Mus musculus: one gene and its partners. The protein of the gene in region 2 interacts with the protein of the main gene of each other region in a pairwise test. Links are inferred from orthologs where the notes say so. Each region holds a gene or a part of one and is shown on either strand. Other genes may lie near its edges.

The links.
Region 1: the proteins of Poc5 (region 2) and Cetn2 interact in binary tests that used the Homo sapiens proteins (3 or more experiments, as listed by UniProt). The link is inferred for Mus musculus from reciprocal best matches to the Homo sapiens genes POC5 and CETN2.
Region 3: the proteins of Poc5 (region 2) and Cetn1 interact in binary tests that used the Homo sapiens proteins (3 or more experiments, as listed by UniProt). The link is inferred for Mus musculus from reciprocal best matches to the Homo sapiens genes POC5 and CETN1.
Region 4: the proteins of Poc5 (region 2) and Cetn3 interact in binary tests that used the Homo sapiens proteins (3 or more experiments, as listed by UniProt). The link is inferred for Mus musculus from reciprocal best matches to the Homo sapiens genes POC5 and CETN3.

The regions. Positions count from the first base shown.
Region 1 is NC_000086.7:72,913,438-72,921,847, reverse strand, and holds Cetn2 (centrin-2), read left to right. Parts: upstream 1-3,503; 5' UTR 3,504-3,531; coding exon 3,532-3,534; intron 3,535-5,001; coding exon 5,002-5,160; intron 5,161-5,454; coding exon 5,455-5,583; intron 5,584-6,870; coding exon 6,871-7,008; intron 7,009-7,554; coding exon 7,555-7,644; 3' UTR 7,645-8,283; downstream 8,284-8,410. UniProt on the Homo sapiens protein: Plays a fundamental role in microtubule organizing center structure and function. Required for centriole duplication and correct spindle formation. Has a role in regulating cytokinesis and genome stability via cooperation with CALM1 and CCP110.
Region 2 is NC_000079.6:96,388,685-96,396,565, reverse strand, and holds part of Poc5 (centrosomal protein POC5), read right to left. Parts: intron 6,344-7,881; 5' UTR 6,204-6,343; intron 4,979-6,203; 5' UTR 4,969-4,978; coding exon 4,891-4,968; intron 3,340-4,890; coding exon 3,222-3,339; intron 2,075-3,221; coding exon 1,997-2,074; intron 1-1,996. UniProt on the Homo sapiens protein: Essential for the assembly of the distal half of centrioles, required for centriole elongation. Acts as a negative regulator of centriole elongation.
Region 3 is NC_000084.6:9,615,937-9,622,995, reverse strand, and holds Cetn1 (centrin-1), read left to right. Parts: upstream 1-3,526; 5' UTR 3,527-3,576; coding exon 3,577-4,095; 3' UTR 4,096-4,577; downstream 4,578-7,059. UniProt on the Homo sapiens protein: Plays a fundamental role in microtubule-organizing center structure and function. Plays a role in sperm cilia formation.
Region 4 is NC_000079.6:81,787,645-81,795,525, reverse strand, and holds part of Cetn3 (centrin-3), read right to left. Parts: intron 3,571-7,881; coding exon 3,379-3,570; intron 2,563-3,378; coding exon of another isoform or gene 2,471-2,562; exon of another isoform or gene 1-2,470. UniProt on the Homo sapiens protein: Plays a fundamental role in microtubule-organizing center structure and function. As a component of the TREX-2 complex, involved in the export of mRNAs to the cytoplasm through the nuclear pores.

The DNA of each region.
Region 1 (8,410 bases), on a different chromosome or scaffold from region 2:
TAAAGGAGGAAGGGCTGCTAATGCAGAGTTTCAGTTTTGCAGACTGAAAATATCAGAGCAGAGTTGGTGTCAGTTGCTCTACAGTAGGAAGAGAGTACAAAAATGGTCAAAATGTTGCATTTTCTGGTACATATATTTGATCACACACTTACAGAGAAAAACAGAATTGCCCTGAACTACTGAAAAGTAGTCCTCAAAGAGCAAAGTCCGAGGGACTAGTGAGCTGTGAAGACTGTCATACCAGAAGCCTCAAGTCTGTTCCATTTAGAATGGTGGGACTTTGAATCCATTAGAAGCTAAGATGTACCGCCACATCACACACTGTGAAAAATACAAGAAGGTAGGGACTGTTTGTGACCACTGATTGCTGAACAGGAAAGGATAATGTGTTTCAAAGCCCACAAAGATGAAAGTGCCCCTCATTTTCTGAGGAGTGTGAGCTCCCTGTAAAGGAACAGAGTGTGAAGTTAGACTGTGGCTACCTCGAGTTCCTTATCTGAGGATAGATTGTGCTGATCTGTGTAAGAAATACAGACTCCAAGGGCAAAATATACTTCCCAGACAAGTCAATTAGTGGAATTAGGAATCCTGATATGAGTCCCTGAGTTTTATGTTGTCACCACCCACCTCAGGCTTAGCACACTGTATAAGACCTGGCCTGATGATCTAATGGAAAGAGAACAACTCCCATGAAGCTGGCACCTACTTATCCAATGGATACATTACCCTGAGTAAATATTGCCAAAAAAGGGCAGGGGTCTTGTAAAAAAACAAAGACTTCTCTGTGCAGAATTCAAAGACATGGCACAGGATGAAAGTGTTTAGGAGGTAAGCCATTATTTTCCTGGGGCCATCCAACTGGACTCTGTCTTTTCACAGACCTGAGATGCCACATCTTTCTCACTTTTTCATATCTACTTACTTTTGAATTTGCTATGGGCCACTCAGGAGCCCCTTACCAAGCCCGAGCCTAGCTTCTACTGTTCCTTTCAGATTTAAGGTAAATCCAAATTGCCCCTTATCCTTCTATTTCCTCAGTACCTGTTGGCAATGCTTTCTTCCTGACTCAAGTGACTTCTATTGAATTATCCTGTTGTTGTTTTAGAAGTTGGATCTGGAAAACATTCACATTTCCTGCCTACATCCGAGTTGCTATAGGGGCTCACTCACTTACTTATTCACAAGTTGCCAAACAGCAGCCACTGTCAGACAGAAGCCAACTAGAACAGTTCAGATCTTCAAAGAAACCATCAGCTTGTATGGAAAACAGAAAGCTTCAAAGAATGATAGAGCTGTGGTTGGATCCTAAGGAGGCTAAGCCCATGAGAACTAATGTATGATGCTTAGTAACATGAAATTATCTGAAAACTTGAGTGCTAAGGCCCTAGAATGAGTGAGTTAAAGAGAGGATGTGAGAGTCTTAAAAGATAGATCACATCCAAGGGTGGGAAGAACATGTCCTAGTAACCGTGATAAGTTGCAAGAACATAAGAACAAAGCAAAATTATACTCAGACAGGTCAAAGAACTTGGCTAGGGTCACAGAATTAGCGCATAACCCAGGAAGAAATTTATTTGTCCTTTCTAGCCTGCTGGGCTGCCACCCCAAAGGGGACTGATGAAACCAGAGATGTTCACTGTAAGAGTATAAGCATATGTTGGCAGAGGGGTGAATTATGAAAAACTAAGGGATACTTATGGACTACCTGATAGACTAAGGTTCACTGAACACTGAACATGTAGTCTTTCCTTTTCCAGGTACTGGTGAACACAAATATGATTCCTGTCCTCCTGTGCCTACCTTCTAGTGGAGACAACAAAGAAAAAAGGTTAACTTTACAGTGGCTTAGGAGGTGACAAGTGCTACTATAAAAATATGGAGCAATATGAGGGGCCCAGGTACAAAGTAAAGAGAGTGATTACCTTTACAGAGAAGGTGACAATAGCTGAAGACCAATACTAGGCTTGCTGGTGCATACCTTTAATCTAAGCACTCAGGAGGCAGTGGCAGATGGATCCCTGTGAAGTTTGAGGGCATCCTGGTTTACATAGTGAGTGCCAGGTCAGCCAGAATTACAGAGTGAGACCCTATCTCAAAACAAAAAAATTATATCTACCTGTGAAATTTTCTCAAAGAATTAATCAAAATACTAAAAAATTTTAAAAAGTTCATGGGACTGGGTAAGGTCAGTGAAGGAATGTATCAGCCGCAAAAATAGTGCCCTGGGTGAGAGTGAGCCAGAGGGGGAACAGTGTGGGTGTGATGGGAGAAGGAGGAATTTCATGGCAGGCTTTGCAGATTATGGTGAGAACTCCAGCTCATACTGCTGAGGAAGGGCTGAGGAGGAACAGAGAAAACAGAGGACAATTCAAGGACGGAACTGTGAGAACTCAGAGGCTGGATATGGGGGATTGTTGCTGCAGTGAACAAAGGAGCCAAACAAGACACAAAAGTTTTGAAGCCGGTTCCTGGCTTAAAGGAAAGAGGGCAAAGGGCCTATATTACATTTATGGGGAGCTGTTAAGTCTCAGGCCTTTCTCAGTTTGAGAGACTGATACTGTGCCCTTAAAGTCCCTAAACTGATTTTCTTTGCTTTGAGGGACGTAGAACATAGAATCTGTGTTCGACCCTGGGCCTTCATTACTCCTGGCACAGCTCCAGGTAGCCCCAACCCGTTGTGCACTTTGCCCTTTAATTCTCTTTACATTCCATACTTCCAAAACTCCTGTGGCTTTGCTTTCAAGGGAGTCTCATTCAGGAATGCTCCTTCCCATGTGACTTGAGTGTCTGTACGTCTAACAGGACACATTTTGATGAGTTTTGAAGATCTAAAAGTCCCCAGCCCATTCCCCTGAGAGCTAAAGTGACTCTTGTAGAGCTAATGTAAAGACAAAGCCTCATGTGGATTGGGTTTCTAAGCCCCAGCCCTGTGAACCACTGACACAATACTCAGCATGCCCACTCCAGTTTCGAGGTCTCAGCTTCTCCTGGCACAGTCACCCCTCCAAACCATTTGGTCATATCTTGCTGGCCCCTCAGATGTTCTGTGTCCCCCAACTCGGTTTTAAAATGGGTCCCACCCATTCCCTCCTACTTCCTCCAGGCTCTGTCACCCACACGCAGCAGCCTCTAAGGGCAAGCCCGCAACTCTTACCCGGTTTAGACACTCAAATGATCGACCTCAGCTTGCAGACAACCGGCAACCAGAGAAGTCTGGCTGAACACCCGCCACCCTTTTCTACTGATAGATATGAGCCCACAATCAGCAGAGCTTCCTTCATAATGTTGATTGGTCTAGCTTGGCTCTGGCGCAACCAATTGACGCTCACAGCATGATTTTGCCCAATGAGGCTAGTCTTTGGCTGCCGACGCACCGCCCTCTTGCTCTTGGGCGAGTTTTGCCAGGTTAGCCCCACCTCTTCGTTCCCAAACCAATGGGAAGCGGGCTGTGCGCGCGTGGAGCAGTGGGAACGCCGCTGAGGCTGCGAGTACGCCGTTGCCTTAACAACCGGTGGCAGAGTCCGTTGGGTGATGGTAAGTGCTAGGGATTCGGTGGACCCCACGCGGCGTCCCCGGTCCTTTCCTAGGCCTCGGTGCAGCCTTGCTACCTTTCTTGCACGGTTCTTGGCGTTGACGCACTAGTTCTTCCTTGGAGCTGTGTGCCGGAAGGGTAGAAGAGAAAGTACAGCCGCCAGCAGCTTGCCTTGCCTGCTCTTTCCCACTACCCCCTCCTCGCCCAAGTCACCTTCAGCCACCCCCGCACAAACTGCCTCTGGACCTCCGCTGGCTTTCAGGAAACAGCAGGGTGACCATTCTATTGCTTCCCTTAGACTTCCGCCTCAGTCAAACTCAGGCCTCCTGGCCGCGGCCACCCAGTTAAAGTTTATGCATTGGTGCTAAGAGGTTTACTGTGTTCTGATGGTCGCAAACGCTTTCAGGAGAGGCTGTGAGAAAGCACGCAGGTGCAAATGGTTTGATTTTTATCACTTTGTACCGGCATAATTTTTATCTTAGTAAGTTTACATTTAGCCAAATTTAGGCATAAGTAATTGGAGGAGCAGAGTTCTTGGGAACTGGCACCACAAGTAGATGTTTTAAGTACATTTCTAAAACCGAGAGTACGGAAATCATATACAGTTGATCATCCATAACTGTAATTGGTTTCTCAAAGAGCTTTTGATGATGCTTTTTTAGATTTAAAAATGACTGAAATTGAATCTCCTAAAGTGACACATGGATTAATGGTACAATTGCATGAACTTTCTGTAGTATAAACTTTAAGACAGTGGAGGTCAGAGTTATGTCTTCTCATGAAGGCTATGTTAACACTAGAAATTCATATTCATATATTCACTTGCTCTATGTTGATCTATACAAGAACAAGGAGGAAAATGGTAATATACTATTTTAAAACAAAAACTCTCTTCTATTTGGTGGCTCCCCAATGAAATATAGTTGAATTTAGTCATATGAGACATCACATTAAGACAAATTTACAGTTATATTAGAAAATAACCTCATTATTGCCAATTTCTTTTTTTATAACTTAGTAAAAACTGACATATATAAATTGAAATAGTTTTAAGTTGAGAGAAAGTTTTTTCTTCACAGAGGTTTGTGCTATTTGTCATTTAGAGTTGGGGTTAATTTTATTTTAGTTTTTACACTTATTATTCCTTGGTGGAGAAGCACATTTTAGCCTGAGTGTGGCGGTCAGAGAATAATTTGGAAGAGTTAGTTCTCTCCTTTTACCATGTAAGCATCGTTTCCCTTTTCATCTTTGACAACGACAACTGAAGCCTGGGTCCTGGTTCCCACTTAGGTTATCAAGCTTGGCAGCAAGAATTCTCACTGGCCCATGGAAGTTTACGTAATGACATAAGTACATTACAAACGATGGCACACCTCATTGAAAAAGATATGTATGTTTAGAGCTGTCATAAATAAAACAAGGACTATGGCTTGTAATAATGTGCTTCTGTGTTTATATATTGTGTGAAGGCCTCTAATTTTAAGAAGACAACCATGGCATCCAGTGCCCAGAGAAAAAGGATGAGTCCTAAGCCTGAACTTACTGAAGACCAGAAACAGGAAATCCGGGAAGCTTTTGATCTCTTTGATGCTGATGGAACTGGAACTATAGACATCAAAGAACTGAAGGTAAGCTGCACACATCCTTTTCTTTGTTACCTTGTGTTTCCTTATTGCTTGTCTTTTAGCTGTTACCGTTCTTCTCCTTTCTGCCTGCAAAAAGTAACAGACAAGGGTACCCTGTGTATATTTTACCTGAAACAATGGTCTAATTGATAAAGTTGATTGCAAATATCAATTAAATCAGCCTTAAGTGTTCCCTGATCATTTCCATCATTTTATCAGGTGTTTGGTTAATATCTTCAATAGTCATTTTTGTTTTTACGTTATGTATCTATTTAGATGATTCTGTTTTCATTGTAGGTGGCAATGAGGGCCCTGGGCTTTGAGCCCAAGAAAGAAGAAATTAAGAAAATGATAAGTGAAATTGATAAAGAAGGAACAGGAAAAATGAACTTCAGTGACTTTTTGACAGTGATGACTCAGAAAATGGTAAGTTAGTTAAGATAATTAGCATGCTTTCTACCCATAATGGTAGAAACATGAGAATCTAGACATACAAAGAGCTTTATCCAACAAAATCTATCCCTTCCACATGGGAGAAGATAGTATTTTTAATTGAGAGGATCTCTACGTTTCATTTGGCTTTCTTTAAGGTATTAGCATTATCTTGTTTCATGTGGCCACATGATAATCACAAGCAGTAAAAACTTTTAACACCGAGATTTTCAATGCTAGTCATTTTTGGTTTTAATTTATTATTATTAAAAATTAAATTATCATACAATAAATCAGGTGTCAATCTGACATTTTCAGACAAATGGTTCACACTTAAGATTGGTTCCTAGATTATTCTTCCACCTGAACCTCCTGGCAAGAACCTTCCTGAAATAGCTGAGGTTTGAACGCTTTCAGAAATTCTGCTCTTCTGCATTACAAGGACTCAGGGCCCTGGTAATTCTTTGAAGGCCATTGTGAAAAATACCTCTCTCCTCCTCTGCCTTTATCAGTCTATCTGTTTTAGCAATGTATTTTCCCTGACTACAACCCTACTCACTGCTTCTATATTTTAAAAATGAATCTAGTGTCTGCTTGTTTTGTACAGTACTTTATATACAATTATATTTCCTATGTAACCCCTGAGTTTATATTCACTTTACTAAGTATGTTTTCTTTTTTTTTTTTTTTTTTACAATGTACCATACTTGTTTGCCTGTGACCAAGGACATATATCATGACAGCTATCACCAGGACCTTATGATAATGTGGGCCATGGCCGGGGAATTAATCTAAGAAGATAGTTTTCCTACAACTCCCTTCTTGGGATTAGAACTGGGCAGCGTTCTATACAAGACAAAGCACAGGAGGGACAGTATAGATACCTGGCCAGATCCAGTGTCAGGTGTTAGAAAGATGAGCCCCAGCTCACTCCAGAGGCTCTTGTCTTCTACCTGTGAAAACAGTATATGACTGTTCGGCTATAATAGGAACCTGTCCTTGCCACATGATACTTTGCCCCACCCCCCCAACAAGTCCTCATGTCTATTTTTTAGGACTTCTTGACTTTTTCAAAAGCAGGCATCTTTTTTCTACTAAGTTCTGATTTGATTATGGAATAGATGATGGCAGAGGAAGTAGAAAGGGAATATATGCCACCATGAATCAGAGGACCTGGCTTCCTAACATTGTTCAAGTCAGGTTTTTGGAGACAAAAAGATGACCGGGGAGTAGCAAGAGTGGCTGGATATAAGTAACTATCACTTTTGTGTTCTACTCCAGTCTGAGAAAGACACTAAAGAAGAAATCCTGAAAGCTTTCAAGTTGTTCGATGATGATGAGACTGGGAAAATATCATTCAAGAATCTTAAGCGCGTGGCCAAGGAGCTGGGTGAGAACCTGACAGATGAGGAACTGCAGGTGAGAAAAAGGCTATGGCTTTCGTGGGTTCTATTTTCTCTATTTTCCTTCTTTGAAGGAAAGCTAGTATCCCTCATACCTGTGGTGATAATTTCATACCTGTGGACCCTGTTTCGATAATACACATGTACAATTGAAGTTCCCTCATTTGGGTTTCAGGTCAGGGTGACTTTCCAGCTTCTTTTCAATGGATGCATATGACAGTCATTGAGATTTGGCTTTTAAGTAACTTTCATAGAAAGGGGCATACTCACATTAAATGGACCATAGTCATCTTTTCTCATAGCATTATTTGAAGTTTCTTCTTTTTTTTCTTTTGTTTTGTTTTTCGTTTTTTTCAAGACAGGGTTTCTCTGTGTAGCCCTGGCTGTCCTGGAACACACTCTGTAGACCAGGCCGGCCTTGAACTCAGAAATCTGCTTTTGTCTGCCTCCCAAGTGCTGGAACTAAAGGTGTGCGCCACCACAGCCTGTCTGAAGTTTCTTATCTAATTACTTTCAGTTTAGTTTGTGACTTAATCTAAGATGAACCCTTATCTCTGTGCAGGAAATGATTGATGAAGCTGATCGAGATGGAGATGGTGAGGTCAATGAGCAAGAGTTCCTGCGCATCATGAAAAAGACCAGCCTCTATTAAGATCAGTGTTTCTTTTTCTACTGCAAGCACATGTGACTAGATTTAGTGCCTGGCATTTTGTGAAATATGGCTTTTGAAAGCCTCCCTCCCCCAACCTGGGGTAACTTTAGCCATGACCTTGAATCTATTTTTGACTTTTGGAAGTGTTCTTTGATATTAAGTTCTTTGTACATTTACCTGCTGACTAAATCAACAGGGCAGAACAAGAGCACATAGAGTGGGGAAAAGGGTCTGAAAGTGTGACTGTGGCCACCCCACCTTCCATTACTTCACCTTGCTCATGCATATCCACTCGACTGAAAACATGCAGTGGCTTCTTAGTTGTCCATGTATCCATGTCACCATAAGCAGTGGTTGTTCTTAAAGTGGTTTTGGTTTTCATTTGACACCACAGTACAGTTTTCTCTTTTACAAAACCCAATGAGTGCTTGCTGTGGCATTTGGATGTGTGTTAATGTATTTGTTTGGTCTTTAAAAAAATAAAACCTTTCTTAATTTAAGCTCTCATTCTTTAAAGGATGAGTATTTTTTAGCTTTAACTGTGAGTTCACCTTGTAAACAACTGTGTTGAGGACAGCCTGGTACATATATACAATTTGTCATCGGCCTATGGATTAAAAAAGGGTAATAATTCTTTGTAACTTTTCTGCCATAAATAGTTTTTTTGCTTTCAGAACTTGTGGATTTTTACAGCTAGTAGAATTTCTTATGCTCTAAGCCTATAGAGTCTTATGTGTAATTTCTGCTTGGACAAAATGGAGAGGGA
Region 2 (7,881 bases):
AGATTATGTTAGAAGTAATGTATAATGTCAACTCTGGAGACCAAGAAAAAAACACAGAGAAATTACTCTTGAGGTATACATACTTCAGCATGGGCATTTGGATATCAGTGCTGTCACTGATTACGGGTTGACAGGCATAGGATGCCTTCTACACCCCTTCCATCTTTCACAAACAACTCCTATGGCAAACACGGATGTGTCATACATCCTGGTCCAGCCCGAACTGAGTGTGATCAGCCACACTGTCACATTCACATTAACAAAATGCCTTTTATATTTCAGGGTTAGCTCTCAACATGAAAATACCTAAGAGGTAGGTATTTTCTCAACCATAAGGAGAACACTGAGGCTCTGAGCATTGATTGACCATGGTGAGGCAGTTGTCTATAGATCACTCTTGTTTATTTTCAATGTTGGTCCTGCCCTTAACATTGCTAGAACTTGACAATATAAAAGGGCTAGTTATTTAGTTTACTAGATATGCTGTTAGCCTCCAACATATAGATGAAAAATCTGTACAGTAATCTATATGCATGTGCACATATACACAACTATCACTTGCCATTACTCAGTGAGGTGCAGAGAGCCAGAGCCAGAAAGACAACTGGCCTCTATCTTTAAAAAGCATAACTAGAAGAGCCAATATTCCATCACAGATTACTGGAATTAGACATCATCCGTTACCATTTCTGGTGAATCCCACCTTAACTATGATGATTCTAATAACCAAGAGTGGTGGCTTGTCTCTTGTTCTTGAAGAATGAAGCAAGGACAGAAGTTCTACAGAACTTGTTACATAAAAGCAAATCTTTCTAGAACTCCTTGCAAGAAGGAAAATTATTCCCTAAATTGTGCATTTGCTATGCAATAAATAGAGTGTGGGATGGTCATACGTGAGATATCACCTACACAGTCTGAAGATAATCAAAGAACCCAAGGAGCAAGGCAGAAAGAGCAAGTGTACTCGTATTCTTTCACTGGGCTCTACTGAGTAGAGAGTCAGAAGGCTCTGCTTCCCTGCTCTGTTTTTCTGAGATAGGGCCTATGTAGTGCAGGTTGGTGTAAACCTGGCTATCCTCTTGTCTTAGCATCCTGGTAGGAATACAAACACATGGCACCTTGTCCAAAAGGCTCTGTGGTTTTATTGCTGAGAAAAAATATACATATTCACCATTTACAAAATAGAGTCATATGACTTAAGGGCTTGAAAGACCATCTGCAAAAATAATATTGCCCAAGATTCTTTCAAGTGAAGAAACAAAGGCAGGCATTTCTTACAAAGTGACTTAAATGGTTCCGCATTAATAATGCCACGCTGTAGAGCAAGGGAAGTGCCCCATTTCCATTGTTTACATTTATACATGTAAAGTAAAAAGCCTGAAGCTGGTTCTAGTAAGCTTCAACCTCCCCTCCTCCCCACCAGCCTCTCTCTGCACATCTCTGACTCAACAGGACTGCAACAATAGAGAGTAGTTAGCAGCCGTATTTCCATTAGTCACCTTTGCCATTGCTCCCTAACTGTAAGAAGGATACATTGCTTTTATGTTATAGTCAGTATCAATGATTAGTTTAAAATAATTTCAAGCTAAAAATGAACATTTTCTCACTTTAAATATATGACACAGGTCATTATATCATTACGTATCTTATCACTATAAGTATATGACATAGAGACATAGATCATTACATTGGTAGATACATACGCCTGAATGCTGGGGAGCAGTACATTGCTTATGAAGGACTTATTAATTGGCTGAACTAACTAATATCTCGCTAAATCTTTATTAAGACATCTTCTTTCTAAAGGCATTGTAAAGGATGTCATGCGCTGTAATTATGATCTTAGCTGCATGATTTTGGAATGTTGTGAATTGTTTTTAATATTATCACTTAAGCTAGCAGCAATAGCATTTTAAAAGTCTGGCTAAGTAATATGGTGACTTATTCTTGCTAATACACTGTAATTCATAAAAAAACTAAGGAAAAGTCATCCTACCTGATTTTGAATGGCTTGAAATATTTAAATCGGATCCTTTTCCCACTTCCAGTTCAGTGTCTCTTACAGGGTTATTTCCTGTCCAAAAAAAAAAAAAAAGAGTTGTTTTTATGTTTTTTTGTTTGTTTGTTTAAAGATTTTATTTATTTAATATATGTGAGTACACTGTAACTGTCTTCAGACACACCAGAGGAGGGCATCAGCTCTCATTACAGATGGTTGTGAGCCTCCATGTGGTTGCTGGGAATTGAACTCAGGACCTCTGGAAGAGCAGTCAGTGCTCTTAACTGTTGAGCCATCTGTTCAGCTCCCCCGCCCCAAGTTTTTAAAATTAAACCTCTTAAAAGAATACATGTGTACGTACTACGTGTACAATGGTTTTATTGCGACATATTCATGTATGCAGATAACATACTAACCCTTTCTTATTCTGTTTTCCTTGCACCTCTGGGTCCTTTTCCATTTAAATAGTACCTCTTCTACTTTTGTGTCTTAAATACATTTAAAAAAAATCTGTATCCCACACACTGGAAGAAGCTGCACTGCCTGTCTTCCCAAGCCTGCTTTGCTCTGCTTCACTTGATGATTCCATGGACGATTACCCACTCATCCACTACAGGGCGACTGGACTGGGTCTATGCTGCAATGAACATGGACGTGCAGGTATTTTATGCCAGCTCTCGTGTCCCTGAGTGTGTGTCTAGGGAGGACAGCTGGGTCACATGGTAGCTCTATATCTATAACATACGTGCATATTTATCTATCCTATGATTAAAGGTGTGCAGCACCACTGCCAGGCTCTACATTGAGTACCTTAATGACAATTCCTTCTGAACAAACTAAAGTGCTGCGGACTGATGAATATAAACAGGCAAGGGCTGGGAAGAGAAGTCCCAGCAAAGTGCTTGCCATGTAAGCTTGAGGATTCGAGTACAGGATTTCCAGAGCCCGGGGAAAGAGATAATCACTATTGTGCTGCTCTGATTTTATGACTTTTCATGAAGTTAAAAGTCAACTGCAGTTTCAATTAAAGTCCAACCGTCAAAAGAGCCGGGAATGGCAGTAAAGCGCAAGGCAGGCCCGCATCACACTGCTTTACACTGTGGACTGAGAAGAGCCCAGTGATGGTCAGGGGCAGTTCCACAGTCAAGCCAGCATCACCAACAGACTCAGGATCTTAAGTGGCATCTTGACAACTGCATATAACCGGGTTGGTGAGGCATACCAGCTAGCGTAGGGAATCTATCCGGTGCCACTTCTCCTCTAAGGTGAGATGGCTGCGAAGCACTGCATTCAACATTTGGATTCACAATAGCATAGCGAAGCAGCTCTTCATACTCCTCCTATGAGAAGCCAAGAACAGCGATGTATTACAGCAGCTATAATGTTGCATTCAAACGTTCATTTTGTTGTGTTAAGAAGTCTATGTAACCACATAATAGTCATATACTTACCACAATACAGGAAAGCTTAGCCCTTTTGCTTAGCTTGAGTCCTTTGAGTGCTCTGGCATGACGTTGACATTTATAATTAAAAATTTAATGGGGAAGTGTTGGTGATTCAATATAACACTTTTTTCTATCTCTTCTTTCTTACATTCTCTATCAATTTAACTAAAGATGATACAAGTGATGCCCCTTCAAGGCAATAAGCCCGAGTTTTAACCTGTTTCCTAGTATTTAGGAAGTGTGGCAGGTGTGTGCAAGCATCTATGTAGTTGTAGCACGGAGCAGTGGTGAGAAGAGGATCAGGAGTTTGAAGCTAGCCTGGGCTGAAGATACAAAGTAAAAGTCTGTGTTTGGAAAAAAATTTATGTAGCTTATCATAATGTTTAGTTTTCATATTGACAGAAGAAATTATAATTCTTTAAAAAGGTTGATATAGTCTTAAATTAAAATTTTTTCTAAATCATACCTGGTTGTTAAAATAAAGGAAAATCCAAATTTTTCAGTTATTAAGAAAAAGGGCAACCTTAACTTGACAGGATACACTGGGATAAGATACAAGGTATTCATTGGTCTGTGTAAACCTAGATGGGAGTTGACCCTAATAAAATAATGTACGGAATTCCAAGTCTCCAGCAGTAGCCTTTGCTAACTGACTATGAGCACCTATTTCTCCTTTTTTATGTAAATGAATAAGCCCCAGGGTTGGACCTGGGCAAATGGTCATCTACTTCTTCCACCGCCCTGCAGCTGAGGCAGTAAGAAAGCACAGCTTGTGGGATTTTAAGATCCCATGTAAATAACACACTCTTTCCTAAGCATTTCTCCTAACTCATCAGTCACAGCCCAGGTTCAAGGTAGGAGATTATGCCAATGCAGTAGTTATGCCAAATGTAGATTATGGCAAGTATAGTGGTCATAACAAGAACCTTACTACACAGAGCATTAGTGAGCCTTGGACCCTAGAATCTCAGATGGCTGACATTCTGTTACTTTTCATTAAGGATGAAAGCATTTGGCAGAGGCAGTTAAATGAGAACATTTCACATAATGTTCCGAAATTCTGAATTTTATTTTTCACTGTGCTAAAGCCTTTGCAGAAAATGCTTTTGAACAGTTCATGCCTATTTTCTGAAAACTTAAAGCAATATACTCCCCAAATTAGTTGAGAGTTGATAATATTGTAAACACGAACACTTCACTGTGAAGGGAATGAGTAAATGAAAAATGCACTTCTGGTTTTGCCATAAATTAATACTTTGTTTAAATTTTGGGGGGAATGTGGCCTCTGTAGCCCTGACTGTCTTGGCTCTCTCTATGTGAAACCTGCTGGCCTTAAACTCAGAGATCTCTCTGCCTCTGCCTCCTGAGTGCTGGGATTAAAGGCTGCACCATTACACAGCGTTTTCTAAGTTTTTAAAGTCACAATAACTTTAGATGTCTTCCTACCTGAAGGTCTGTGGAGACAGAACGGTCAGAGTCATTGTGAGCCACATGAAGTGAACACTTGTCCTCATCAGATGACATTCTGCAAACACTGTAAAACAGCACAAGTTAGCTTCAGTTCTCTCCTAATATTTACACCAAAGCTTTTAAATACATGGAGTGCAACAGTGCTTTAACTTGCAAATATTGTTCGTGTCATTTAAAAGAAATCACCCACTTGACATGTTCAGCAAAAATCCTAGGGCCAAAGAAGGGACTTACTTCAAACATTTGTGTTTCTATAATACCCTAAGAGATGTGCTAAATACACAAAGGACTGAAGAAAACTGCTTCAGAACCATTTCCTGCAGAGTTTCTCAGGAAAGAGCCTGTGGTCACCATTCTTCAGCCTTAGGTGACATCCCAGAGACCAAATACTTTCCTGTGACATTCTGGAGTAAGACAGCCCAAGAGTTTGAGTCAATTCCCTTGCTGAGATACTTACATCTGGGGAATATTACTGTAAGAAAATTAACTTCATACATTACAACATACTGAGACACACACAGAGAAATCATTCCATGTCTTAACTAAAGAAAACTATTGCAATGGGGGTGCGCAAGTTAAAAGGCAAATAGTAACTATTCAAACTCTCTGAACACCAGTAAGTCAGGCAGCATGGCCCCAGTACTGAGACCTGAGAGACAGACTCAAGATAAAAGGAGAGCTGTGTAAGCCAAGGCACAGAGGCATAGCATGTACGTGAAAAAGAATCAGGGTGCTTGGTTAGGCTGAATACAAATCAAATAAGAAGGCATAGTTACAATTATAACCTTTCATATTAAAAGGCTGAATCTTTACATAAGACATTAAATGTCTGAAACAACGGATGTGGCCAACCTTGTTTTTTATTTATTCATATTTACAATGGTGAGGGTTGAATGCACTGCAGCTATGCAAGTCAGGGGCTAGACTCTTACTGCAGAGCTACCTCTCTGAACACTGCGCTTTTCAAAAAATCACATTTTAAAAAAGAAATACTACTCTGGCAGCTTTAGGACAGATTTGGATTCTAAAACTATAGAGTCCAATCGAGAGCCAGCTGTAGGAATCCAAGCAGTAAGGGTTCTTTTAAGTATCAACCTGGGAGACAAAATGAGGTCCTTAAACCAGAATGCAGCCTTGGCAAGGGCTCTGAGGTGTGGCTCTGAGGCAGCTGTGCGACGGTGATGACAATGTGGGCTCATGACCAATGACCACTTAAACATCCAAGTGGGGACTACTGATGTGCTCAGATTTGTGTCCAGAGTAACTAGATGAAACATGCTACTACTCACCGAAGCAAGGACGGTAGCACAATGGAACTGGAAGGTCAGCAAGTTCAGTACCAGCTGTGCCGGCATGAGGTTGCCTCTGGAGCATCGGGTTTGTGGGCACGCAGGAGTCAGTATCCCTGGGCTCCTATGGATTTACTCATCTGTGGGCCAAAAGTATTTCTTAAAATCACATTGGTCTTGACATGCACAGACTTTTCTTATCGCCATCCCCTAGACAATTCTGTGCAATAACAACTTACCTAGCATTTATACTATATTAGGGTTCTATGTAAAGTGGACATAATTTAAAGTGTGAAGGGTGGTATATGTCATAGGCTACACTATGCCATTTTATATAGTTCTCTTGAACATCTGTAGATGTAGGCATCTGCAGGATCTGGGAATCAATCTGCTGAATTCTGTGGTTACAGAAGGATAGCGGTTATGTGACTACGTTGGCTACTCAGCACCCAGCTCCGAGCACTGGAATTCACAATGGCTAGGATGTGCCTTTGCCTGTATTACAAGCATAGGCTGGAGATTTAGACTGAGGAGGCATTGACCTCTTGGGGTAATACGAAAGAAATGGGGATGGATGGGATTCCCCATTGTGGTAAAAGAACTGCTATCCTGCAGACCAAACACAACTGCACACACTTTTAGAATATAAACATATGTATTTTCTAGAAGGATTTTTAGATTCAAACATGATTTCAAAGGAGTTCATAATCCTAACAGAGGACTGCTCTGAGAAGAGGAACCTAAAACTGCTAGCTTTTAAGGAACAGTGAAGTGTCAGGAGAAAGATGGGAGGCAGCCAGAACACCGGAATTGTGTGGAGAGCAGTATGAGGGTCACTGGCCAGAAGGGGGCAAGGAAGGCCCCCAGCATGCAGATCAGGAGGCTGCCTTGACACCCGTGACAGTTTCAGCTGCCCCTGGAGCAGGCCTCAATTATAGTTTGCTAAGAAAACAATTGAGATAAAGACACTGAAGAAGAAGGGAGAGATGCAGGGAAAACCACAGAATAGAAAGCCAGGGTGCAGCCAGAATTGTGCAAAGGGAATTTCTCTTTTATTCAGCATTGGTATGGTTCCAGAGGATAAGTAAACTAAGTCTGAGCTGTGACTGTCTTTCATTAAGCCATGCAGGGAAGATAAAATAGGCATGGATCTGCATCGAAGAATGAACACTTCACTAGTCTCAAATCAACCACTGTGGTAATTTGATCCGTTTTAATTTTAATTACATTTTCCCTTATGACTTGTTTGCAGACCTGGTAGGCAACCAGAGTTGGGAATTGTGGATTATTTTAGTAACAAATGAGCTGGTATGATCAGACGCCAAAATTGTTTCTTAAAAACATATTGCGGTCAGAAAGCGATCGGACTTTTGGAAAATACGTTATCTGCCATTTATCCCTGCTCTTTGCAAACAGGCAGGAGAAATAACGTGAGACGAAAACAGTAGCATTTCTTCAGTTTCTGGGTTCAGAAGAATGGTGCTTTAGAGGGTGACACGCACCATTCCACTACATTCTCGGCACTCTTTAACCTAAGCTGAAACCACAAGATACTTTGAATGCTTCTCTTTGCTACTGGTACAACTTAACTGAAAAGCGGACTCGGGGAATTCAAACGCAATCTCTAAGAGGCGGAGAACGAACCAACGTGTAGCTGGCCGCAAGGTGACTTCTCCCG
Region 3 (7,059 bases), on a different chromosome or scaffold from region 2:
GTTCCAATCATTCAACCAGCTTTGTAGAATCCTTAACTAAAGTGTGGCTCCCCACCCCCCCCCCCTGCTCCCCAGGGACTTTACTTTATAACGTTCATATTAGAAAGCACATTTCTGGAGCCTTGGCTCTGTAGTAAAGAACATTTGTTGCTCTCGCAACTCACAACTATCTGTAAGTCCACTTTAGGGGATCCTTCCATGGGCACTGAGCATGAACATGATGCCCATATATACATAGAAGCTTTCTCAGTTTAGATGCACCTTTTAATTGTTTTTTATTTGTTTGTTTTCAAGACATGCAGCCATGGATATCACTTTGTAGACCAGGGTGCCTCTCATCTACCTCTGCCTCCTGAGTGCTGGGATTAAAAGTGTGCACCACCACTGTCCAGCAGATGTACATTTTTGAGCATGCTGCACTTAGGTCATTTATCACATATTCAAAAAAGAAAGCAACAACAACTAACACTTCTGGGTAGAGAACTTAGTATTATAGTGAGCAAAGTCATTTAAAAGAATGAGTCAGAGTGATTTGGTGGCCTCAACGGCCTCCTCATAAAGTTTTCCAAAGAGCTCTAGTTGTTTTTGTTTGTTTGTTTATTTGTTTGTTTTAAAGAAGTACTTTGAAGGTGCATTAAGAATTTGGGGGTGTGGTGGAGAGGATTATTTTTATGTAGCTCAGGCTGGCCCCAACTTCCTGATACTCTTCTTTCCTTAGTCTCTAAAATGCTTGGATTACAGGCATTGGCATATTCCAGCCCAGCTAAGAGTCTTTTAAAGAGTCACCAGTTTTCTCTATATATCCATTCATGCGTTTGTCCCCAGAGGTGCCTTCTTCACTTAGCAGCTAGCAAAGTACCCTGGATTCAGCCAAATCATGCAAATCCCTGTTGAATTATTCTACAAAGGTTTCTTACTTCCTTACTCCTAGGTACATGGATGATAGCCAGGAGCCTCTCTCTAGCCATGCTATGCTTTACTAAGACTCTCAGTTCTATGGCAGCATGATATAATAAATGATGTAATGAACAATGTTCAAGTTCTGGGTTCAGACAAGGCCAAGGTATGACCTCAAAATACATTTATTGACTATATACTATTAAACACTCATTACAGGCCTCTTCTATGCCTTGCTTTGTTTTTTCCATCTGTGAGACAGGAAATGAATACAAGGTTCAAATAAGGCAAAAGGAGACATGTCTCCTTTTCAAGTCAGGGTTAAGACTATGAACACAAAATGTTCATCAAGAACTGATTTTGAGGGAACTGTTTCCTATGAAGAGAACTTTTGGTGGCCCTTTGTTGTGACTGCTGATTGCACACATCTGGAAACTATGACAACCAGTTTGCTTTGAGTTCAACTTGGCCTCAAATATTACTCTCTATATGGCAGCTTTTAGCCCTTAGTTTTCCCCAACACATCATAGCTTGTCTCAAATTTAGGCAAAAGAAGGGCTGCCAAAGGAAATGCAAGTCTGGAAGGACCTGAGGTCTGTATCTGCCAGTCCCATTAGAAAAGTGTCTCTGAAGATTTTGTGGGCTTTTAAAATAAAAATACATTAGGGAATTTTAGTATGGGTTTTCAAATGAGAGATATGGATGTCATGAAGAGGATAAGTTAACTTCTTCAAATCTGCAGAGATAATTAGATGTAGAATTGAAAGAAGATGCAATAAAGACAGGAAATGCAGGAGAGGGAAGGGACCAAATGAGCTTTTAAAAAAATTTATTTATTTTCAAAAACCCTATACCTAAAACCTGTGTCCATTGTCACTGGGGGAAGGAAATAAGATTTGACCAGCTGAACATGCCATGAAAGGCTGGGCTGGGGTTCAGTGGAGAGTACTTTCACAGCATAGATGCAATCCTGCATTTGACTCCAGGAAAACCAAATAACTAAACAAAATTTCTAAACACACCTTATAATCAACATTTCAAATCATAATTTCAAAACAAAACAAAACAAAATAAAACAAAACACAGTTTTGTAAAAATATTCCTAGCATTATTGGGTCTTTTGAATCACCTTTCATTTGGTAACTTACAAAGTATTTTAGGATCAATATTAATTATGCAAGAAGTCAATGGATAGCAATATCCCTTCAATGTGTCAAGCACTGTTCTGGATGCCTGGGATACAGAAGATTTGGAACAAAAAAAATCTTCCAGATGTCATCTGTTGTACAGATCAAATACTGGTAAATATACATTTTGGGGGGAGGGGATTAAAGAATACTAAAAATTAAAAGTCAGCTATCTGCATTTGCTAGGTAACTTTTCTCCTTCCTTCCTTCCTTCCTTCCTTCCTTCCTTCCTTCCTTCCTTCCTTCCTTCCTTCCTTCCTTCCTTCCTTTCTTTCTTTCTTTCTTTCTTTCTTTCTTTCTTTCTTTCTTTCTTTCTTCTTCCTTTCCTAAAAAGCTTCCACTTTTCTCTTGTTGCTTTGGTTCCCAGAAGGGCCCGTTTAACTTCAAAAGACAATTTTAGGTTTCCACTATGCTGCACCATCACCTTCCTTGTCTGCAGTCAGAGAGGGACAAATGTAACAATACAGTGGATTCTCCTCTAGACGAATGTGAAACCTACTAGCATGACCAGATGAAGGTGTACAGTAAGATTTATTATTTGCAGTACCTAAGGAGAACATTGACATTATCTGCAAAACAACAAGGCCATCAAATAAAGTGTGGGAGTTTTATTTCAGAAGCTTATACATACTCTTATAAGAAAGGAGACATGAAATTTTCATGGATTTGGTTAGGATTTTAAGAGCAAAAGTTACCTTTAGGTGACCTTGACTCTTTCCTTAAATGTTTCCCCTATAAATTTTCAGGTGGAGTTAAAAAGGGAGATGTCTCCCTTGTAAATATAGTTTGCCCCTAAAGATACCTTCTTGCTTAGTGGTTGTTTCTGCCTGAATGTGGAGCTCTGTACAGCAGGTAGCAAATAGTGAGTGAGAATAAAAACACACGGCTAGAATTTTACAAATACATACCAGAACACTTCACCCTCATCTGTCGAAGTCAAAAGCCTACTGAATGAAATTACAACAACCACCCAGGTACTAGAAGTGAATTATACTGGACATTACATGTCATACTTGAGAAACTGCCAGGAAAGTTTACTAAGGTTCAATAGGAGACAAACTTCCTCAAAATTTACACGTAAGTGCCTTTATCTTACCTGTTTCATAATCATGTCTAGTGAACACATGGAGTGCCATTTAATGTTCTTCCTTCTTATTTGAATTTAATACCAAGTGGTCAAACTTCCCTATAGTTGTCCTTTTAATTAATATGGAAAAGGAGCAGATGATTTTCAAATAAATATACATAGGCACTGCAGATGCCTATGACCTGGAAAGAACTGCATGTTCCAAAGAATTATAGAGACAATAGCTACAGCACTTTCTTGCCAGTAGGTATTAACTGCCAGTAGGCGCAGGCGCATAGGGGTTGGCGCAGGCGCATAGGGGTTGGCGCAGGTGCAGGCGCATAGGGGCTGGCGCAGGCGCACTAGCAGGGCACCTCACACACGTGCGATGTCAGGGCACCGTTAAGATCCCAACTGTTGTGGAGGATGGCGTCCACCTTCAGGAAGTCAAACGTTGCCTCTACCAGCTACAAGAGAAAGGTGGGTCCTAAGCCTGAACTCACCGAAGATCAAAAGCAAGAAGTTCGGGAAGCCTTTGACCTCTTCGATTCTGATGGGAGCGGGACCATCGATGTGAAGGAGCTGAAGGTGGCCATGAGAGCACTTGGCTTTGAACCCAGGAAGGAAGAGATGAAGAAAATGATTTCAGAAGTAGACAAAGAGGCCACAGGAAAGATCAGCTTCAATGACTTCTTGGCTGTGATGACTCAGAAGATGGCCGAGAAAGATACCAAAGAGGAAATCCTGAAGGCTTTCAGGTTGTTTGATGACGACGAAACTGGGAAAATTTCATTCAAAAACCTCAAGCGTGTGGCCAATGAGCTGGGGGAAAGCCTCACAGACGAGGAGCTGCAGGAAATGATTGATGAAGCTGATCGTGATGGCGACGGAGAAGTGAACGAGGAAGAGTTTCTTAAGATCATGAAAAAGACCAACCTTTATTAAGTGACTGGCTGAGGTCCCTGCTTCTGCTTTTGTGAAAGTATGACAGAACAGCTGTGGTCTGTTCCTTCTTCCTGCCTCCTTTGTCTTGGTTGGCTTCTAAGCCTCTAGATCAATTATAAATTTTGAAGATACTTACTATATGAGTTTCTGTTGTTTAATTCTCAAGAACACATCTCAATTAAGGATCTTTGAGGCTGGAGTCCACTCAGTGCTTGCCATTCATTAAACTGAAGAGAGGACAGCTTCCTCGGTCAAATAAAATCGTGGTTCTCTGGTCACTTTAGTGATTCTAAATAACACGAATATTCTGGTGATTCCTTCATTTCAAGTCAGTGACCTAGCATGGTGAGTTAGAATTTACCAGAAAGTTCATTCTAGCTTTCCACTTAAGTGCATACTGCTCTGAAGGATACTAATGTGGTTATTTAAGAACTATTTAAATTAAGGAAAGATATTCCTCAATAAACCCTTGCTTGCCCTTCAAAAAGGAAGTGTAAGTTTGTTGAGTGTGATGACACACAGCTATAATCCAATTGGGAGGCAATGTGCAAAGCTAGTCTAGGCTTACATAACTCCAGGTCATCTGGAGAGTATAGAGTGAGACCCTGTCTCAAAAAACAAAAGTGTATTGGGGAGATAGCCCACTTGAAAGAGTGCCTGCTGTGCAATCTTGAAAATCTGAGTTTGGATTTCCAAACTCAGGGGTATCATGCGTATCCCAAACTCAGGGTAAAGTCCAGTGGGATCCCCAAAGCTTGGAGATAGGCAGAGCAGATAAGTCAGATCTCTCTCTCTCTCTCTCTCTCTCTCTCTCTCTCTCTCCCTCCCTCCCTCCCTCCCTCCCTCCCTCCCTCCCTCCCTCCCTCCCTCCCTCCCTCTTTCTTTCTTTCTTTCTTTCTTTCTTTCTTTCTTTCTTTCTTTCTTTCTTTCTTTCTAGATACAGGTTTCTAGAGCTCCTACAGTATCCAGCTTTAGCCAATTAGAGAGCTTTAGGTTCAGGAAGAAAACTGTCTGTGTAGTGAACTGTGTGTAGTGGCACACCCTTCTAATTCTATCAATAGAGAGACAGATAGTGGAGGATCTGTGAATTGAAGGATGGTCTGATTCCAGTTGTGAGTTTCAGGATATATAGGGCTTCATGGTGAGACCCTTCCTCAAAAGAAAGGTGGTGAGCACATATACACGTGTATGCTGGTATAGACATCCACACAAACATATATATTACACACACAGAACCTGGACTTTAGCTCAGTACTAGATTACTTGCCTAGCAACTTTAAGGCCTTTGTACAAGAAAAGGTATATAGACTTGCCTTTGGGAGGTGATTAACTACAATGGTGACTTTTCTAGCTTGACTGCATGTCAGTGTCTTCCTTTAATGAGTCTAAATTATCTACTGAGGAGTATGGAGAGAGGACATGAAGACCTAGCACAGGATAAAGTAATTTAATTGTTGCCTAAGCAAATTATAACTTTTTAAAGAAATTAAGCTTACTAGTTCCTTTGTTTGTTGAGACCGGTTCCTGTGTTCCAGACTGGTCCCATACTCAACATGTAGCCAAAGATGACCTTGAATTTCTAATCTTCCTGCCTCTACCTCCCAAGTGTAAGGATTATAAAAGTTCATCACTACCATACCCAGGTTATGCAGTGCTAGGGATAGAAGTCAGTCCTCCTTCATGCTAGGCAAGCACTCTACCAATTGAGCCACAAACCCTTGGGCTTGTTGAGACACAGTTTCATTTGTATCCCAGGCTAGACTCAAACTTTTGCCTCAGCTATCCTAGTACTCGAAATCACATGTTCAAAACCATGTTCAATTTTTTTCTTCACATAACTGATCTATGGTGCTGAGGACATGGCTTAGTGGGTACATCACTTTTTGTTCAATTATGAGGACTTGAGTCTGGATACCCAGAATCCATATATGAGGAAGCAAGTATGCCCCTCTAACTGCAGTGCTAGGAGTTGAGGAAGGGATGGGAAAGACATATTCTAAGCTCACTGGCTAACCAATGCAGCCAATTAGTAAGTCTCAGGTTCAGTGAGTCTCAAATAAGTATGATAGAAATAGAGGAAGATGCTCTAGACACCCTGTTCTTCATATGCATGCATACAGACAAACCATACATGTATAGCTACACTTTAAGCTACTCATTCTTAGAAATAGCAATGGCAGTTTTAGTTATTAAACTATGTACATGTGTTATTAGCTTTTAGCTTCAAGCTGCTGTCTGCTAATTATTAGAGCACTTGCTTTTTATTCTCTTGTGATATGTGGTTAATATTAGAGTGTCTAGGTAATAATACTCATTTTATAAATTTTAGTAAGCTATTTCACTGTGACAAGAGTATGTGTTCATACTACTTGGATTATTACATGTGTGCCCACTACATTGGTCCACGTGAAGACTCTGAATCTGAAGTGTTAGTGTCTGTAGCCTGGGTGAGTTCTCTGTTGCAGCTACTTCATCAAAGCCTTTCTGATGGCAATCAGGTAGTACTGTTATTTTGACAAGTTAGTCCCTAATATGAGAATTAAGTCCAGAAAATTAGTTGCCTTCTTTAGTGACAGCCACCATCAAGCAGGAAAACAAGCCAAGAAAATTTCCAGAATTGAAGCATTTAATGAGCAACTTTATGTGAAGATTTCGTTTTGGGTCACTTATGACTACAACGTGTTTATTTTTATCTTATTGGTATTTGCCATTAGCTTTCAAAACTTCCATCTCAGCAGAAGCACATTATCTGAATTTTCTGTAATTTGAGATTTGTAAATCTCCAAGGACAGCATCTTCTTTCATTTTAGAATAAGGAAGGTTTAATTTACAACATGCATATGCATAAATAAAACACTTTCAAAGAAAGAATAAAAGGAGAAAACCAGCTGAGTGCCACCACCATTTCTCTCTCTCTGCTTCCTGACCATGGACAGAGTGATGAGCTGCTTTACTCTCTTGCTG
Region 4 (7,881 bases), about 15 Mb from region 2:
CACCCCATCTCCCTCGTCTGGAAAGGAAACTGCCAGAGGATGCTTTAGACTGTGTCCTTTGAAATCCTACACAGTGATTTACTGAGTGACACACTTATTCCCAGGAGTCAAATGAATGCCAGCACTACAGAGGTACTGTATAATGCATCAAAACATGCAGGGCTGCTATTCTACAGTACATTTGAATCAAACAGAGGTGAATAAATGTCACTATAAAATTGTTGCTAACTGAATGAAACAATGGATCATAAAGCTGAAAGACCTCATTCTCAGGTACTGGATGCTAAAATATTAAAGAGTCACGTTCTTAATATGTGGGTAAGGTTACTTTCATGCTAAAGCTACCTTGAGGATGGTTTAGAAAATGTTCACTTATGGCATATATGTCAAGAATTCATCTAATAAAGTAACCCCAGAGCTGGTGCAATAATTGTGCTCAGTTTGAAATGGAGAATAAATGGACAGAACTTACAGTAATATATTATAAAATATGGATCAAAAAGTATTGGAAAACACTACTAAAGACAACTCATGACTTGGATTGTCAATTAAAAGTATGGCATTTAGAAAGAAGGGAAGGCAAGGTGGGGAATGCCATCCCAGACACAGGAAGAGGAAACACACCTAGAAAGGTAAACCGTGAGCTAAGGCCAGTGAGAAGTCTAAGTCAAAGCAGGCCGACTTCCATCAGCTCCTGCTCAGTCTGAAACATTTACAAGGTCCTCTGAGAGACACGGAAGAGACAGGACACAAAGCAACTCATGAACCTGAGAAATGAAGAGTTGTGACCTCTTCGGTTAAATACCACATCTAAAGAGCTTATGAGAATACGACCTGTTTGTCTCCCAACTAAGAATTCAAATAGATAAGAATCCTAAGCCAGTGTGGAGCTTCATCTAAAAACACAATTGAAGCAATCTACACTGAGGCTTCTAGGCCAAACCAGAAAGTATTATTTTCTTAGGAAAGCAATAAAAGGAGCTTCAAAGTGATTTGGTTATAAATCATTTAATACTGTAACAGAGCTATGACTAAAAACTAAGTACTTTAGTTTTATTCAAGATTTTGCTTTTTTTAAAATATAAAATTTCAATAATCAAACTTCAAATTCAGCTTCAAAAAGTTGTAGAAGTCACAAATAGCTGTTTTATGTTATTTATATATACTTTAACATATGATAGTATTACAAAAATATTTTAATCTATTTCATGATTTAATATCCAAAAGCATAACAGTTAAGTCTAAAACAGTAAAGAACAAAGGAACTAAAGGAACCAAACTAGCCACTTGACTACTAGGGAGGTGACAAGAAAGCCAGGCTTTCTAACTTCACCAACCATCTTTCTGACAACAGCATAACACCTGGCTTAAAGATAAGTATCTGAGTGGCCAAGAAGATGGCTCAGCCAAAAAGCATTCACCACATAAGCCTGGTGACCAGAATTCAACCCCCAGGACCCAGATAAAAACCTGAGAGATAGTGCAGTGCACTTCTGTGATCTCAGCACTCCTACAGAGAGAAGGGAGAATCTTAGCAGGCATGCTAGCCAGAAGTATGCAACCCGGAAACAGAAACAGGAAGTCACTCCCTCAACAAGGAAGAAGGTGAGAAATGACTCTCAAACACACACAGACACAAACACAGACAGACAGACACACACACACACACACACACAATCTATATAAAGTTTGAGTACCTGAGAAGCTACATGGCTTCAAAAGAAAAATAAAAAAACAAAGTTTAGCATCAGAAGTACTAGTCAATAAATTAATACACTGCTTCCCATCGCAGTTAACATCTTACTGTAGTATCTCAAACAATACAGAATGCCCTTTTCACTGTGGAGAACTGAGTCTGAGCTCTGCTGCTATCATGGACTAGCTCTGTGATAATCTACTATACACGCATCTCTCTTATGTGCATACAGCTACAGTACTCTATCCACTTTACAGAAGCTATTATGAAAATTGAGTAACATAAAAGATTCCAACCATCATTATCATTATTTAAAAAGTGGTCTGCTATAGCTTCTTAAATGTTACTTTCATTTTTATAAAAGCACATAGTGTACTTTGTTTTATATTATTTATATTTATTTTGAGAGACTGTGGTATTAATCTTCTTTATCTTCAGATATACCTACATATTTATGTCTATTTTGTAGTATACATTATTTGCCTTCATATCCACATTTGCAGTCTTTATTTCATTAAACCCATAATATTGAAAAAATAGTTATTCTTAAAAATTGGATACCATTAAACATTTATAAAAGCAAATGAATTACTAAATGTCACAAAATGGCAAAAAAATATTTTTATCTTCATCAGTTTAAAATATAAAAAAAAAAGTACAAAACTTGGTTTGCAACCAAGAGGATCCATATTAAACATACTAAAATATGAAGGTAGTTTGCTCTTCTAAATGTCATGAGCCCTTAATGGCACCCTCATCAGCTGCCATACACCACTAAGGAGGCTTTTGAGAAAAAGATGGTGTTTCCAAAGTTCTCGCTGGAGAAAGTGAGAAGCACTTCAACAGACAAGTGGGCTCTCTGCTCCCTAAGAGAAGAAAGCAGCAAAGCCACCGTCATCAGGATATAGATGTTCAGTACATAACAGTTAAAGCAAGAATGAAGAATGCAGCATAAATAGACCTCAGTACTAAGTGTGTGCTTTACTCTGCAGGTAGTGAAGATTCACTCTTCAGTGTCTGAGCACAGAAATGACGACACTACAACCCACATTTAGGAAAAGAATATTATCGACAGAATGAAAAGGAGATGAAGGCTAATAAGCCCAGAGGGCAATGGGAAGGCTGTGAGAGACACCAGCATATATTTGCCGGACAGGTGGTACACAACGCTGCACCTCACAGGCAGCCTGGGAAAGAACATTGTGACATTTTAAATATAACTCAGGAACTGAAACAGAGCAGCAGAGAAAACAAACAAACAAACAAACAAAAATAGATTAAAAGTGGTTAAAAGAAAAATCTACAAATTTAGTAATAGTTCAGAAGTGTAAACAGGTTAAGGAAGAAAGCACTGAGATCTAAACTTTTAGTGAAGAGCTACATATTAGTAATATTTCTTCTTCAGAGAAGTCTGTATGATACTTCGTATTTTAGCTCATTAAGTTGTCTTAAGGGTCTGCTTCAATACAAATGAAGCTTACAGAGTGTGGCATCCAACTGGACTCTCATCTATTCAGGAGGCTAAGACAAAGGATCTTAAGTACCAGGTCAAACTTGAAATCACTTTAAAGTATCATGAGTTTGTCTTCAAAAATAAAAGGGAAAGGAAAAGTGGGGGTGGGGAGAACTTGCTGGGAGTCACAAAAATCAACAGATTTTAGACAAAAGTAAGGTAAACTTACTCTCTCCATCGCCGTCTTTGTCAAACTCCTCTATCATGGCCCGGAGCTCCTCATCGCTCATGTTCTCACCCAGCTCTCTGGCAACACGCCGTAAATTCCTCAAGCTTATCTTTCCTGAATCGTCATCGTCAAATAGTTTAAATGCTTTCAGTATCTCCTCATGTGGATCTCTCTCTAGTATCCAGTCTGTCACTAGAGTTAAAAGAAACTTTTCAAGTGAGGACATTCATGTAAAAATCAGCTATTCACTGAGAGCAACACCTGGGAGTCTGTCAACATTTAGTCTAATAATTAAATGTCACGGTAGATCACTAAAACTCAAAAATAAAACCTGAATTCCAAATCCAAATTTTAAATGTTAAACTTTTAATGTCTGTACTATAAATGTAAGCTAAATTATATTGTACAAAGGCCAAAAAAGGGACAACATATACACACTATTTATTTAAAGCCTACTATTGTTAAGAATTAAACTGAGGATGAGAGATGGCTCAGCAGTTAGGACCACTTGTTCTTGCAGAGGATCTGAGTTCAATTCCCAGCAAGCACTTGGCAAATCACGACAGTCTATAACTCCAGTCCAGGGGCCCAATGCCCTCTTCTGACCTAGGCCCTTCACACAGTGCAATGTAAACACACAGGAGCAACGCACTCATTCTAAGTATATGTAAGTATAAAATAATTAAGTCCACAAAAACATTACTCCACCTCTCTCAGGTCACTAAGTTTAAGTGAACAATTTGCCCTGGCCATGTTAAAGCTGTTAAACAGTTTAATACCCCAATTCTTCCTCTAGTTGAATTCAACTAAGCCTGTGAAATTAACAGAAGTCATTGCCAACACCAATATAAGCATAAGACAAGTTAGTAAATGCAAATTCTATCAGCACTTTCATGATTCAAAAAAATTACATTGATTTCAGCTACTGTGAAGATGGGCTAAACCTCTCTGGAAGCAGGTCTAAAGCAGGGCCATTTTACTCTTTTAGAATAAAGCCATATATCAATATACTAAGCTTATATATTTTAATAGCATAGGCCTTTAATAAAGTCATAATAAAAACTGATGTCTATAGTATAAAATTTTATGTTGCTTGGTAGAATTCTCAAAATATCTATTTCTGAAGTAACTCCATATGCTGTTCTGCTACTATAAGAAAAAGCACTTATCATTCTATCATTAACAGTGAACTGCTGGGATCTATAGATTCATTTGAAATTTTCAAATGTCTGTAGATGGAAAGTACTGGGATGTTTATTGAATCCTAAGTAAAAAAATACAATCTAAGTCCTCTTCAAGTTGTTGTCTGTCTATTGTTATTTCATCTGTATTTGGCTGAATAAGCACCTAGTCAAAGCTAATGTTACATCAACTACACATATATCCAAAATTATCTCTCGCCATTAATTTTATCCAAAAAAAGATTTCCAAAAACCTAATTGAAGACTATTACTATAAGTATGCAAATCAAAGCTCATAAATATTCAGTAACAAGAATTGGCATACCTACAGCCATAACACCAAAATAAAATACCACAGTTAACTCTATGGCACACACTCAACGTATTTTGAATTCAGTCCCAACAAAAAAGCAGGACAAGAAAAAAAAACTGTTATGAAATTTTCTTCATGGATTAAGTAACATACATGACAGGTAAAGCAGAAAGGCACCCTGCTGAAAAGACTAATGTGCTTAAAGCCACAACAGACAGGAGGCCAACAAGTACGCACACTATCTCACCTGCACGCGCTATCAGTACTTCAGACAGATTGGTCTATAAAACGCCCAGCGATACTCTGACAGAATGCACTTCTCTTAGGACTCATGACCCTGAGCAACTAAAGCATCACCCAACATGAAGTGTGTTATGGTGACGCTCGTCTACATCGTCACCTTTCATTTCTGCTCTACAAGTACAACTTCTCTGTAAGACATCTTTTTTCCAATGAAAACAAACCAGGCATGGTAGCCCACACCTGTAAAAAAAACAGGAGGATTTAAAGCAATTAACACACACACATAGCTAAGATATCACCTGGTTCAAAAGTTCCAAATTTCTGTGCATGCAACTACTTTCTGTTGTGTTGATTTTTACATTGTAATGACATAAAGCAACTAAAACCAATTACAAAGGTATACAATTTGACTACACTGTTGGAAATTTCAGTCCATCAAAAGTATTAGATCTTACAAAAATCACATAAGGAAACAAAATTCTGAAAAGACAAATCAAAATCATAAAAGATAAAGTTAGAGAGCTGGGGAGATTGCTCAGTGGTTAGAACACTGGCTGCTCTTCCAGAGTTCAATTCTCAGCAAGCACATGGTGGCTCACAACCATCTTTAAAGGGATCTATAAAGGAATCGGACACCCTCTTCAGGTATGTAGGTATACATACACACAACAAAGCACTCTTACATTTTTAAAAAAAAAAAGTACAGAAAGAAAGAAAGAGAGAGAGAGAAGTTAGTTCCTATCCAAACATTTAATACTTACTTCAAACTCAAAAATATTGGACTTTCAAGTCCTTCTATGGGCTTCACAGCCTCTTAGACCTCCACTGAAGGAAAGGTAGCTGCATTACTGACTCTGAAACAGTGGCATTACCCTCAACCCCATAAATGTCCCTTAATTATCCAAGTATTGGACACTAGAGTTCTGAAGACACTATCTTACTTTACTCTCAAATAGAGTCTCTTTCTTTTCACCCTAACAATCTTGATCATAAAGTCTAGAACTTTCTGCCTCCAAAATCGCTTCAGCTCATCTTTGACCTTCTCATCAATTACTGTTGTAAAATACAAACTCCCATTCCTTAAACTCCGCTGACTGAAGTCCCATCTTCCTTCACTACGTAAGACCATCCATCAGTCTGACTCAAGGCTGCCGTCCCAGTGCTCTGACCCTCCTCTAACAGAGGGGACTGCATGAGATCAAGCTTCTCATCGTGCTGAGCATGTAGTACCATGCCGCTTTGTCACTTCTATGCTAGACTGCATCTACTCTACTCCTACAATCTTCTTGGACATCTTCTATCCCTAAAGATTTAAGTTAAAAAAAAAAATTCCCTTTGCAAAAACTTAAATTTTCCTGGGTGAAGGCTTGACAAAGATTTCCTATAAAAGGCCTGATAGGAAACATTTTAGGTTTTCAGGGTCCTAAGCTCACAGTCTAAACTGCTATGCTATTTGGTAGCAGAGAAGCAGCGTCCACAAATGTGGGACGCACAGAGAGCACAGTTCGGTTCAGTCCCGGGGCTACAGGTAACAACTCTGACCCAAGACAGCAATCTCTCTCACACAGAATCAAAATGTCCTGTTACTACACTTACATCCTAAGGCCCTCACCACAATTTCTTGGTAATCTTAACTACCATTCATCCCGCCAAATGCAAAAATTTCAGTGCTGGATAAATACTCAAAATGAAAACACTGTAACATTTTATTTTAGATAGGATTTTAAAATGTAAGAAATACAAGCCAAGAACAGATGAGGTGAAAATCTCTCACTTCTATTGACCTTCCTTTAAGAGCAGAGATTCCGGAAGCACCTGCTCCTCCTTGGCCTCAGCCGAGTGACGGATGGACGCTAGGTAGCCTGCACTGAATGCACTTTAAGGCTGTTTTCTCATCATGGGGAGAGCCCAATAAGCCAGGCACATCTGCAGATATCTGTGGGACAGTGTCCTTAGGCAACAACAAATGGTCCATAAAGCTAAGGTTTAGGTGATATGAAACTCTGTTCTGAAGTAGTAAAATATAAAAATCTGCAATACTTAGAATAGTACTTATGAAAAAATGTTTTACAAAACTCTGAATAATAATGCTTAAAATAGCCTTCAAAAGTTAAAGACAGAAAATAAAACAATGAGATTATAGAATAGAATGTTTTAATGTCCCAACAATACAAATGCATTCTGCATCAAAGGAAGCACTATTTTCTCTGCCTGGCACAAACTCTTGGAGTGTTTTGCTTGGAGACAGGGTCTCATTGGCCCTGTCTGGCCTGGGGTTCCTCATGCAGACCAGGTGGACTTCAAACTTCCAGAGCCTGGGTTACTTCTTTGTGCTGAGTGCTGGGACTACTCTTAATCCCAACACCAGCATTTAGTAGCTCTTACTATCCAGTACAGTGCTTAACATTTCACATGCTCATCACCCACATACCTCCCAGAAACCACATTACACTGGTCCCCATTTCATCGATGAAAACGAGTCACAGACAAGTAAACTAACCAAGTTACAGAGTCAGAACCCAGATCTGAAGCCTGGAATCTGGTTCCAAGGTAGCCTGTGCTAACTTCACTGTGGTGCTCTTATGAGTTTCCTAAGGGGGGGGATCTGCCTTCTCATTCCATTTCTTTTCTTTCCTGTATTATGTCTTTAATATTTAAATAAAGGTTTTGTATATACATATAATTGTATTAGTTTTAATTTTTTAATATATGAAAATAACTACATGCTTAGATTATGACCCCTAAAATGGTATCATTGGTCAGTAA